Linked DNA regions of Cricetulus griseus. The main gene of each other region encodes a partner of the protein of the gene in region 2 in a complex. Links are inferred from orthologs where the notes say so. Each region holds a gene or a part of one and is shown on either strand. Other genes may lie near its edges.

Region 1 (6,731 bases), on a different chromosome or scaffold from region 2:
GCTGACTCTTAATATCTGTAAACTGTATGGACAAGGGGAGGCTCTGAGAAGCCCTGCAATGAGGCAGAGGCTTACTTATGATTCTGGCTCATCGGGCATCATCTGCAATTCAGAACAACCTTTCATCCATTCCCTAGACACCCGGAAGCAGATGATGAGGCAAATCTGACCTAGCCCCCTTCTTTGTGAGGCAGCATTGATGCTGAGTTCCAGGATTGAGGGTGGGAAGTCTAAACAGCTTCACAGTCAGAACTAGAGTCAGTCAGTGAACCTCTAGGCCGGGACTATCTTTAAAATATTATATACTGCCAGAGAGGAAGTAGGTGGTTGGTCGTGCTGGGTGAGTTAGCCTCTGTAGGCCTGCCTCAGTTTCACTATCTGTAAAATGGGCAGGGGTGATGTTACATACCTACCCACACTTCTAAAAAGCATCATGAGTAACCTCCCAGTAAGCCAATCCGAGTGGTCAGTGAGCAAAGGTCTGGTCTGAACTGCTTGTGCTTATTGCATGATGTAGGTAGGATACTGACTCTGCTCCCTGGCTCCCCTTTAAAAGCTGCTTTTGCAGGGAGCCCCAGACCTTAGTTCTTAAACTCCTATCAGGGAAGAAAACTTTTGCATGCACCTTCAGTGGGTTTGAAGTCTGTATAGCTGGGGCTGCAATTAGCTGCACAAGTACAGGATTTATCTTTTTGTCTTAGTTCCAGTGTTCCCATTTCACAGACAGAGACAGTGAGGCTCTGTGATACACCCCCAAGCCTCTGGATCACTAGGGTTCCTACTTGAGATCTCAGCTGGTGGCTGCCAGACTCCACCTGTTAAGGAGTACCTTCAGATAAGGCTTCAGGGTGTGGGCGATCTGGAAGCCTCTGCATTAAACAACCGTCATTAAAACTGAACAAGGGTGGGGTGGTGATGACCTCAATCTGCAGGATGCTGTACTAACTCCATTTTACAGATGTTCTGGACTTATCTTCTGCATTTACTACATCTTCCCACTAGCCTCATGTGACAGGAATGACCATAATTCCCATTGCACAGACAGGGAAACTGAGGCTCCTAGTTGGTATCCATTTGGCTACCTCACAGCCTGGTTGGAATTTGAACCTAGGTCTCATAGTGTTTATCATTTATTATCTACTGGGACCTCCCTACATGCCCACACCATGGCTACCGCTGTATTTCTGTTTACAAAAACAAACTTAATATCCATGCACCCACTATATAAATATTGCCCTGTTGGAAGCTACCTCCACCCTTCCTGAGGACCAGTGGAGACCTCCATGTCCAAAAAGGAACAAGACAGCTGAAGAATAGCCCGTCCTGTTGGTTAGCCAGCAGCCGAGCTAGTGTTGGCTCACCAGCCAGTGCCGAGCCCACACCCACGTCAGCACGTGCCCCGGTGTGCCTGCCCCACCACACCCACACTCACAACCTTTGATGTTCACAATTCTATTCCAAGTGACTTTAATCCACCCCCACCCTCCAGGCCCCCTTGAACACTGCTGGGGCTTGTCTCTGCTCAGCTAGTGCTTACAGCAGGCTTGCTATTGATTTTCTGGCTTCAGGCCCCTGCCAGGAACAAGTTCTTTTTAATGGCCTGTTAATTGGAAGGGAGGCAGAAAGCTGAGGCCCATCTCACCAGGGGCCAGGCTTCCTGTCTCCTCTGTCTTTTCCCCCCAGCGGATTCGTTCTCCCAGAGTGCAATGGGGTAGGGAAAGCCCTGGGCCTGACGCTGTGGCCAGGCCTAAGCTCTGCTCTGGTCCTTTTGCTGACTCACTGGATGACCTGGGACAAGGCCTCCTCAGCTGCAAGATGGGAGTAGATAGTCAGGGGATGAAGGGTCACAGGAAGTTGATTTTTAACTGGTTTTTCTTGTTGTTGCTGGTGCTGGTGGTAGTAGGGTTAATTTGTGTGTTTTTATAACTCAGCTTAGAAACTTGGCTCAAACGAATAAATAAATAAGCAAACAAATAAATAAATAGATGGCTAGATAGATCCCTTCTGTCCCTCAGTTCCCAAGGCAGCCTGGGTTGGAACCCTTTGCTACCTTGAGCAAATTATGCTAGACTCTGCTGACCTCCATTTCCTAAGTCCAAAGGGGACAGGTGGACAGTTAATGCAGCCACCTCCTCTGGCTATATTAACACAGGTGCTACCTGATGCTGGGTTTCTGGCTTCTGGTACCAGGCAGACACCTCTTTACCAAGGTTAGCAGCTGTAGTGCTGTCATAACCATCCAGCCTCAGTTTCCTACTCTTGTTGATAGCATGGCGACTCAGCATTCATCCTGCCCCACTCCCCCGACCCCAGTGTTGTGGCTTTGGGGTATGGTAACCCCTGTTCCTGTGTCTTCAGAAGTCCTCCACGAATCAATCTATTCTTCATATTAAACTGTCTACTTCAAAATTGCCAATCTGGTCCCTGCCAGTTCTCTCAGGTGGGCACCATGCCCTGAGGACCCCAGCTACTGGGTCACATTCATTCTCTTTCTGTCCCCCATTGAGAAGCACGTGTCTCTAATGATAACATTGTGGGCTGCATTCCTGAGACCTGAGGTCACCTGTGCCACGTTGTCTGTCACAGGTCCCTTTTACTGAAGTTGCGTCTAGGTTGAACACACACACACACACACACACACACACACACACACACACACACACACGCCCTGGCTGTCTGTCCCTCACTCACCTGACACCTCTACGTATCCATCCTTGGTCTTCACCATCAGCTCTTCAGGTTTGAAGCTGTGCACGTTGACACACACTTTCCAGGGCTCCCCGGGGAAGGGTGGGGGGCTCCTGCCCTCAGCAGGCACTCCAAACCTGGCTGTGGCTGTAGGCCCCCGGGGCACCATGCCGGATCTTAGGGTTCCGGGCCAGGCAGATGAGAGCCGAGGCAAAGCCCAATCAGGCCAAGGGGCTGTCAAGTCATCTGGGAAGGGGTCCATGCCAAAGCCATCGTCCAGCAGGCGGGAAGAGAGCGGTGAGTCCCGGAAGGGGTCTCTGCGCAAGCGGCTTGGGTAGGAGCACGGGAAAGGCAACTGCCCATCAGCCATGGTGTCTGCTGAGCTGAGGGGAAATAGAGGCTCAGAGAGACAGAGCCACCTACCCAAGATCACACAGCAAGGTGATGTGGCTTGAGATGGTTTTCAGAGTTTAGTCCTCCGCTTCAGAAAATTCTGATCTTCTGTTAGCCACAAGCCCAACCATCCGCTGCCCAGAAGGGAGCTGGGATCCTGGCTCACAAATGTGACCCACCAAGCAGGCCCAGCAGAATCCCAAAGGGCCTCTGTCTGTCCCACCTCACCAGGCTATCAGCAAGTCACCCGCCTCCCAGGCTTCCCAGGCTCCCAGCCAGGGCCGCTGCTGAGGTCTTGAGCACAGCCAGGAGTTTAATAAACCTCAGGGACGTGCGCCTAGAAACTTCTCCTGGCTTCTGGGCTGGGAGCCTTGTATTTATTTGCTGCTGGGGGCTGGGGGCGGGTTTTGCAAGCACCTCCTGTCCCAGGAGTATTCGAAGGTGATGAACCAGCCCCTGAGAATCCGCTGAGAGAACAACTGGGCTCCGGGAGCGGGTGGAGAGCTGGGAGGGGCCGTGGCGTCCGAGTCTAGCCAGCCTCTCCCGCACTCTCTCCTCCCCGTACTCAGCTCCGCCCCGCCCTCCCTCTGACTCCAGCAGCGTCCACTCCAGGCACTAGTGTCCCACAGGGCACTAAAGCCAGACTATTAATAACCCTCCGCCTGGCTGAGTGTTCAGGTCATACTCTGGAAATACCATCCCCAGAACATGTTCTATCTTGCCTCCCACCCTGGGGACCCACAGAAGAAGAGAGACATCGGCCCATTAGATTGAAAAGTAGATGGAATCCCCACTTACAGTTTGACCAAAGGTATCTCCGACTTCTGAGAGTGACCAACAACAACATATCATGATTTTTCTTTAATGACACTTGTTAAGTCATATAAAAAAAAAAAACCTGACAGAGTGTCTATTGGGATAGGAAGGTCTTGGAGCAAGAGAAGAAATTGGGCTCAACTCCCAACACTGCCTGGAGGCAGAATGGGGGTCAATGTATGAGAAATGACTGAGGGGGATCCAGGGGTCTGAGGGATTCTGGATAAACTGACCTAACTGCATTCCTCTAAGGATAGGCTGGGGTGGCCAGACCTCACCTGAAAACTAGAAGAGGAAAAGCAATTGATCTGGCATGGGGGTGGAGGGGTGGTCATATAGGGAACCGTGGGGGTTGTGGCTAAACTGACATGTTCTTGTTAAAAGTAGGTGAAGGCAATGAACGCCTGGCCCTCCCTCTGAGGAGGAGTCTGGCTGACGTTTGGTCAAGGGAAGAGTGTTGCTCAGTGGTAACATTACTCCCAGGCATGCCTGAGCTGCTTGTTTCCCACCTGCGAAATGGGCAGGAGAGGAGCCTACTTGGGGATGCGTCATCAGGAATGCATGATGTCACATACTTGGTAGAAGGATCTGTGTTCATAGGCTTTCAACTTTCAACTTATCAGTTGTGTAATGTTTTCTCTTAAGCACTTCATAAACATTAGCCGGTGGAACCTCCCCCACCCACCACCACACAGATAGCTAAGGGCTCTACTACTGTCCTGTTTGGCAGCAGAGCAAACCATCATAAGTCATAACTTTTTAAAAAACTTTTATTGATTGACTGTGGTACTGGAGGCAGAACTCAGCCTTACACAAGCTGGATAGCTGCATCCTAACCCTCTCCTTCCATAAAATCACTTTATTGTGATGGGTTCACAAATAAAGACATCGCACAGCTGGTTTAAGCTAGCCACCTGGACACCTGCCCTGTCCCCATCTCAGAGTGAACCTCTATACAGATGGCCGTGCCCAAGTACTGGAGCTTCATGTTTTATGTCCTCACTCACTCAGTTACATTTCTAGTCACATATCCACCACACAGAACAAACAACAACAAAACAGTCACAAACTATTGCTTTCTAGCCTCTTTCATGACTCGTGTGTCCTTTTCTTGCATTCCTTCTCTATCACCTAATAAGTCCCCTCTTGGTGTCCTTTCTAAAGGTTACTATGTTGTCCTACTATGATATCCCTCATATGGGATCTTAGTCTGTAATATATATATATATATACACACACACACACACACACACACACACACACACATATATATATATATATATATATATTTACACACACACACACACACAAAGGTAGAGAAGCAGGTAGAGAAACCCTTTTACTTCCTTATTCTTTGTTTTCAAATAGCATCTCATTAATCTACCTAGGCTGGCCGTGAACTCACTCTCAGCCTACTCTACCTGTGAGCTTCATGCTTCAGCCTCCTGAGCATCTTGGATTACAGGCCAGCACCACCAGGCTGGGTTTATATTTTTATCCTAAGTAACAGTAATAACTGCCTGGATGTACTATTCTCCAGATGGCATATTAGTTCTGAAACTCCCAATCCAGGAAGAACCATTTCTAGAACTCTCTGCTCCAAGTTTCTAGAATTCCTTGTTCCCCCAGACCTCTGGGAGAATGGATTTACAAATCTTCTTTTAGCCTTGGGTTTGGGGTTCCAGTCTTTGCACCGTCCTCAACAGGTGGGCAGCTTGGGACATGTCATTTTCCCTTTGTGAGCCTACGGGTCCCAAGCTGTGCTTTCTTTATGGGGTGAGGGTGTTGAGGAATTTGAGTCACAGGTAGAAAAGTCATTTTGATAGGAAGCTTTTCTTGTATGAGGCACTTTACTCAAAATAAGAATACAGAACACAAGGGTCGGGGGTGGGGAGGTGGAGAGATAGCTCAGAGTTTAAGAGCACTGACTGCTCTTCCAGAGGTTCTGAGTTCAATTCCCAGCAACCACATGGTGGCTCACAACCATCCGTAATGAGATCTGGTGCCCTCTTCTGGCATGCAGATGTATATGCAGGCAGAACCCTATATATGTAATAAAAATAAATAATGAAGAATACAGAACAGAATCACTCCACTGTGCCTTTCACTGTCATGAGCCACTGCAGGCATGGCAGGAAATGTTCACAACACTGTCTTTGTTACCATCACCCCACTTTTCAGGTGGGGAGAGCTGGCCCCGGCACACAGATGTGGGATGGCAGGAGCCCTGGTGGGAAAGCTAATGTTTTGAATCTTGGCTCTGTTTAGAGTGGGTGGACTGAGATGTCTCCTTCCCCCAGCTTTTGCCCAGTGGAGAGAGGGGCCCCCTGTCCTGGCATGACGTGTCCCCCCGCTACTGGGTGGCCTTGATGCAATGTGGGATGAGCTCATGGTGCCAGAAACCTTAAGCTGACGTCATGGCTGGGCACAGACTGCAGCTGGGAGGGGCTGAGTGAGTCTGCAGCTAATTATGAGGGGAGTCACCCTGGACGATGAACAGGGAGAAATCTGGCCCTGCCTGAGACCAGGCAGGGGCTGGGGTGGGGTTCCAGAGTGCTGTCTCTGGCTGAGCGTGTGTGGATTTGGGTGGGTGTTGTGTGTGTTTACGTGCTGCTGGGCTGTCCTGATTGTGGGAGTGTTTGAGGGTGTGCTCTACAAGGCTTTCTTTTTCCCTCCCAGGCCTCATCGCACAGCTTCATTGAAAACTTGTAGAAGACCCAGATGGGGAAAGTCTGACAGAAGTGGGGAGTGCTCCTCCATCCTGGCCCGTGCCTTTCTCTCTCCCGTTCTTTCATCCCATGTAGCCCAGGCAAACCTTGAACTCCTTACATAGT
Region 2 (6,631 bases):
TGTGTTTTCATCAAGGACCAGCAACTTCTAGAATTCTGCTTTTCTCTGGCTGTGCCTACGCTGACTAGGCAGCACGGCTGAAGAACCCCTCGGCCTGCTACAGCCCTCTGAATTTCTGCCCGCCACCTACTCCATACCTGAGGCCTGTCAACCACGGTGTGCACACGGATGGGTGATGGGGAGTGAACTGGTGTGCCGCTTCTGGCTGGAGAGCCTTCCCGGCTGGATGCACCTCGAACCGGTGACCTGAATGGGGATGCTGCCCGAAGAGGCCGGGGCTCCCAGTCATCCCCCTGGATCTTGTGGTAGACAGGCTGGTGGGTCTGGTATTCACCCTGCTGAGCTGGGTAGTGGGTCTTCTGGGCTTGGTGGAAGGAGGGCTGGGCTGCTGGCCGGGTGATGTTCTGCTCATGTATCACAGGGATGGGGATGTAGCCCCGGGGGAGCTGATGGCTACCCAGACTGCTCCTGCAGGAGGGCAGGCTGGCTGAGGAGGATGAGGATGAGCAATCTGAGGCAGCTGGAGACTGAGACCGCTGAAAGAAACAAAGGGCAGAGCATGGTACCATTAATGACCCTGCTGCTGTCCTGGCACTCCATCAGGTACCACCTGGCCAGGACAACACATTTCTCAAAGCCTTCCTGCTATAAACATTTCCACTTTCAAAATGTGAGGATAAGGGCTAAGCCTTCATGTGTCCCTTTGTGAGGGAGTACCACTTCACTTATCATATTGCTATCGAGACCAAGAAGGCTGGGGATGTAGCTCACTGGGAGAGCACTTGCCTAGCACCCACAAGGCTCCCAGACCTTGGACATGAAAAGGCCTGGGTTCAAACACCTGGAAGCTCAACAGTTCTCTGAGCCTCACCTGAACTATGGGAAAAGGCTAGGCTGCCTGCTCACCTCACTGGGATGCTTTAGGGATTACTGAATAGTCTATGCACTTGCCTCAGCAGGCAGCAGTGTGCACAGGAAGGGCGTGGCCCAATATCTGGTTGCTATGTCCTCACTTCCTCCTAACCTCTCATTGGAGAACACTGTGGAGCATCTGGGAGCTGCCTGTGTCTGGGTGCAGGTCAGGTCCCTTTCTCTTCTAATCGACCCCTCCCATCATCTAGAAAGTGAAGAAGATGGCTCTAAAATTTTCTAACATCTCTGACCAATGTACTATGTTGACTTATATACTGCATAAACTTTACAAACCTAGCAACCTCATCTCCAAGGAAGGAGAGACCTCCAGTATCCCAACATCAACTAATACTTTTCACCCCAGGCTGGTGAAGGTGAGCAAATATAGGGGTGGAGAGGCAATCAGGATGCCAGGGAATTGGGATACAAGCAGGAAATGGGGGCTTATACTCAAGAACAATGCCAAAGCCCCAGGGGATGAGCTGAAGACAGAAGGACCAAGAGGGCTTACCTGCTTAGGAACCCTACCAGGTCTGCTGGCCACAAATCTCAGCTCAGAGCTGGATGAACTATATTCTTGAGCTATTAACATGCCTTGCAGTGCTGAGCTCCAGGGCTCAAGCCCAAGTCTAAAGCTGTTGCCCTTCTGACTTAAGCTGTGTTTTCCTTTAGGGGCACACTCTTAAGACAGAGACGCCGGCCTGACTTCATAGGTCCCAGCAGAGGTCCAAGTGGTTGGTGTGTATATGGAAGGACTGAACAGAATAACTTAGGGCTCTCTGAAACAGAGAGCCCAGTGTGACTAGAAAGCTCTGACCCAGGAGGCCAGGCAGCTGCTCCCAGCTTTGTTGCCTCTACCTCTCTGCATTTTGACCATGCAGCTGCCACCTGGGCGCCAATTCTTTTACTACAAAAATAAGCTGGGCCACCTGAAAAACACAGGTGTAAGACGGGAACAATATGAGGCTGCCAAACTGTCTCTGCAATGAAGAACCATTGATGCAGCAGGCGGGGCCCAGAGCCCTACGTACTACCAGGTATCTGGCTCAGCATGAGCCAGGTCTGATGGGGGAAGTACTTCTGTGTATGTTTATCTTATTGATTATTGAATAAAGTACTGTTTGGCCAATGAGACAGCAAGGACTAGGAGTCAAAGGGGATTCTGGGAAATGTAGTAGAGAAGTGGTGATCCAGGCAGGAAGTGACATAGCAAGGAGAAACAGGAAGTGTCCTTTTTCCCCTCCGCTCTTCTTCCAGTGGCACAATGTGATCCACTGGCAAGGAGGGACACCAATGGAAGGTGTCCGATAAGATAACTCTTATAAAATAGATTTATGATAATTAAGACTGAGCTAAGAGATGAGAATCCTAGTCATTGGCTATGCAGCATTTGTACCTAATATGTCTCTGTATTATTTTGTCCATCCACGAGGCGGGTAGGTCTCTTACCTCAGGTCCATGGGCAGCCGAGGGCTGAGCTGCAGCAGCTGTGGGTACCTGTGCACACTGTTTATCTGGCTGGGTAGTCTCTGTCATGCCACCACGCAAAGGGGACTGGGACCTCTGAGGAGCAGCCGCTGCTGCCTCTGTTCGAAATCGCTGCACTCCAGGCTGGGAGTAGGCATGGTAAAGGTGTGGTGGCCGATTTTCAGTGCCTTCATGGAGGACAGGAATGGGAATGTAGCCCGGCCGGAGCTGGGGGTATATGGAGTGGCCTTCCCTAGTGGGCAGCAGCCTGGAGCCTTCACGAGAAGGGCCATTGGCAGAGGATGCAGTTTCCTAAGATAAAGTTAGGAGAAACAAAGACTGGTTAAAAACAGAGTGGACAAGCCGGGCTGTGGTGGCACATACCTTTAATCCCAGCACTTGGGAGGCTGAGGCAGGCGGATCTCTGTGAGTTCGTGACCAGTCTGGTCTACAGAGCGAGTTCCAGGACAGCCTCCAAAGCTACACAGAAAAACCCTGTCTCAAAAAACCAAGAACAACAACAACAACAACAAACAACAACAACAAAAAAAGAAAGAAAAGGAAGGAAGGAAGGAAGGAAGGAAGGAAGGAAGGAAGGAAGGAAGGAACAGGGCAGAAAGCCCCATGAGAGGGAACAGTGGTATCAAAGGCTCTGATCCTCCGGAGTGACTTGGGCTTCACAGGTCAGACAGGCTAGCCGATCACAGGGTGCCACACTGGTTCCACTGGCTCTGCTTTTTCTAGATTCCCAGAGAATGCTATGCAACCAACAGTGATTTAGGGGTACTGAGGCAGACTTTGGTGGCGCAAGCCTTTAATCCCAGCACTCGGGAGGCAGAGGCAGGCAGATCTCTGAGTTCGAGGACAGCCTGGTCTCCAGAGCGAGTGCCAGGATAGACTCCAAAGCTACACAGAGAAACCCTGTCCCAACCCCCCCATCCCCCCCAAAAAAGATTTAGGGGTGTTGGGAATGGTAGTGTATGACTTGACTCCCAGGACTTGAGAGGCAGAGCGAGATTTCTGACTTTGAGGCCATCCTGGTCTACATAATGAATTGCAGGCTAACCAGGGCTATATAATTAAACCTGTCTCAGGAGAAAAAAATAAAGATGAACTGCATCTGTAAGTCAAAATATGAGTTTGAAGCACAAGAGGGGAGTTATGATAACCAACATTATGATAAAGTGAGAGGGACCCTGGTGGATTCCATGGTTGGTGAGGTTGACTGAGGCAAGGACAAACACACCAGGCAGACACAGCTTAGTGAGAAGTTTTATTAGATAGGGAAGGGGTGGGGGTGGGGGAGGGAGGAGAAGGAAAGAGAAAAGAGGTAAAGACACACACTGACTAGAGAGGACAAAAGAGGGAGACAGGACAAGTCCTGTTTGCCCCAGGGGAACAGCAGGAAAGACAGAGAAAGAGTGTAAGTGGGTGGGAGTCTTCTTTTAAAGGGTCCTTTGCACCTGCATGCAGACTATGCAATCATGGAACCCTGGGCTGACCATGGTACTGCCTGAGTGCATTCTGCCAGGTGATAGGGGCAGGCCAACATAATGCCTGAATCCTTACAAGGGGTCTCACTCTCCCAGTGGGGAGACAGGTTTTTTTTTTTTTCTTTTTTCCTGGGTGACAGCAAGGCAGCAGTGTAGGACAGGAGACAGCAGCTATCTAACTACACCTGCCAATCTTCAGAGGCCGAAACCAGGAGGTGATCCCAGGAAGACTCAACTCTAACTACTGGAGTGCACCAAAACTTCTCAGCTTTGAATAAAGCTCTCACGTTTCCCAACCACACAGTTTGTATTTGATCCAAACACAGAACATAACTTAAAAGTCTTTCTGGAGAAGCATTATGTTTGTGTGCGTTTCAGGGGCTAGCTCCTTGGAAATATTTTTAGAACAAGCTGCAAGAAAGGGAGATACACAGGCATGCAGAAGTGCTGCAAGAAGAGAACAAAACCTGGGGATTAATTGTGCCAGTCTCATAAGGCCAACTCATAGGAGTCTGCCTGGCTAGACTTTAGAGCAAGGCTACGGAACTTTCTCCTAGCCTGTCTGTGCAGTTCCTTGTAAAATCCAGTTACTGCAAAAGAACAGCTGAGCCACATCACCAGAACCCCTCCTTCCTAGCCTACCACTGTGGCTATCTGGTCAGGTTCCCAGCTCTACCCTATCTCCAGTCCTCCCCAGGAGACAGATGTCTGATCACCTTGGCTTGTGAGAACCCTGCCAAGTGAGCTTAATCAGAATCCCCTTTGCCTTTGAACAGCTTTCTCCTTTGAGTGATTTTCTATCCACACGCCCGGCCCTGTGCCTTGTCTGTGCTCAGCTGCACTCATCTCTCCCCACGGCAACAGCAGCATCTCTATCTCAGTTGTCCCAATAAATTTTCCTTGTCATGCTTTAACAAGTACCATAGAACATTTTCCCCCTTCAATACAGTAAATCCTGTTTGGGCCAAGAGCAGTTGGGGGTCCTTCTCATGTCCTCTCACAAAGTTGTCCCTTTAGAGGCCTGGCTATTTTGGGACCCTTGAGAAGGCCAAGTTCCAGATGTACAGAGCTCTGGGGGAAGATCTTATTTCAGACACCGAGGCCAGCTATCCACTCACTGGGCAATGACATCTCTCTCTAATCAGCGGCTGTGCAACTTAGCCTCCAACCGTCTCCTAAGCAGAAGAGTCCTTCCACAGATCAGGGGAGCTGTGCTGTGTCACTTGCACATATCCAAGTAGGTCAGTATTTGGGAGAGTAAGCCTTCCTCAGCGAGATAGGTCTCTGAATAGCAAACAAACGTCAAAAGCTGGGAATCGGAATTCAGAGTGTAACTTCTACAGCTACAGAACTGGGCAAAAGCTAAGGACAGATAAGCTAAGGACAGTTGACTTGCATTTTGAATGAAAAGGCCATTAATTCTGTCATGTTTTATATTTATATACAAGTCTGGACACCAGGTGGCTGGCCCTGGAATGTGGCCCTTTCAAGCTCACCCACTGCCTCTCACCTGCTGAGACCTTGCCCCTGAAGGGCCTCCCAAGTACAGAAAAGGCAAGGGTGTCACTGTGTCCTTGGGGAGAGGGGTAGACAGGCACTTGGTACTCTCAGATTAGAATACCCACGTGCTCAGGACACCAGCATTATTTTAGCCTGCTTAACTCTCAGGTCACCCAAGAGCTGGGAGTAGATCCAGGCCTCACAGATAGAACCCAATTCTCTGGCCTTGAGGCATGCACCATTGGAAGCTGGCAGGACACAACCCAGAATCCTGCATTTTCAACACATTTTCTGAGTAATGTGTTCACTCACTCAGAAGGGACAGCCACCCTTCTTTGCAGTTGAAATCAGATTTTGCATAGCCCTGTCATGTTTTGGGGGACTGCCTGTGACATTGTTTCTTCTGGCATGAAGAGTCTCAGCTACTACCTACTCCTTAGAGCCAGGCAGCTTAGCAAGCCCGAGCTAGCCTCATCTAAAACTTCCAGTGGACATCAAGCCACCACTCAGATGAGCCTCAGCAGTCATCAAACCAACAAGATAGGACCCTTGCAAATAAGGATTTATAAGACAAGCAAAAGGGCTGGGGACATAGCTTGCTTGATAGAGTGCTGGCCTAGCATGCAGGAAATTCTGGATTCAATCGAGTCATAAAACCAGGTACAGTGGTGCACACTTATAATCCCAGCACTTGGGAGGTAGAGGCAGGAGGGCCACAAGTTCAAGGTCATCTCCAACTACATACTGAGTTTGAGATCAGCCTGGACTTCATGAGAGCCTGTTAAAAAACTAGATATGTGAATGCATGAAACAAAAGGAACCATGTCTACCTGAAAAGCAGGGGTGGCTGAGGTATAAGGAACATGTGGGGTTTCCCCACAGTGGGGGCCAGCCTCGCTAGGAGCCAAGCTCATTTCTGCCACCACTAGTCAACAGTCCAGTGAGCGCGGAGAATTCTCTTTCCCCTGTAAGCCTTCATTTCCCTTTCTATAAAACAAAGCAGGTAACAAGCGCCCTACATAACTACAGTGAGTTCATTTGTTTGTGACAGGGCCTTACATATAGCCCAAGCTGGCCTCAAACTTCTGCTTTTGCTTGAGCCACCAGGGTACAGGGATTATAGGTGTGATGCCAGGCCTCACTTTCTGACCTCTCCCATATTTAAATGTTTTAGTTCTTACCTTGCATGAATGTGTACCACATGTGCACAGTACCCTCAGAGGCCAGAGGAGAACACTGGATCACCGGGGACTGAAGTT

What was found.
Region 1: Bag3 (region 2) and Hspb8 share a complex: the UniProt entries of both Homo sapiens proteins name them as parts of the chaperone-assisted selective autophagy (CASA) complex. The link is inferred for Cricetulus griseus from reciprocal best matches to the Homo sapiens genes BAG3 and HSPB8.

Annotation. Positions count from the first base shown.
Region 1 is NC_048597.1:96,472,865-96,479,595, forward strand, and holds the start of Hspb8 (heat shock protein beta-8), read right to left. Parts: upstream 3,586-6,731; 5' UTR 3,059-3,585; coding exon 2,692-3,058; intron 1-2,691. UniProt on the Homo sapiens protein: Involved in the chaperone-assisted selective autophagy (CASA), a crucial process for protein quality control, particularly in mechanical strained cells and tissues such as muscle. Displays temperature-dependent chaperone activity.
Region 2 is NC_048596.1:72,258,020-72,264,650, forward strand, and holds part of Bag3 (BAG family molecular chaperone regulator 3), read right to left. Parts: intron 2,692-6,631; coding exon 2,362-2,691; intron 537-2,361; coding exon 138-536; intron 1-137. UniProt on the Homo sapiens protein: Co-chaperone and adapter protein that connects different classes of molecular chaperones including heat shock proteins 70 (HSP70s), e.g. HSPA1A/HSP70 or HSPA8/HSC70, and small heat shock proteins (sHSPs), e.g. HSPB8.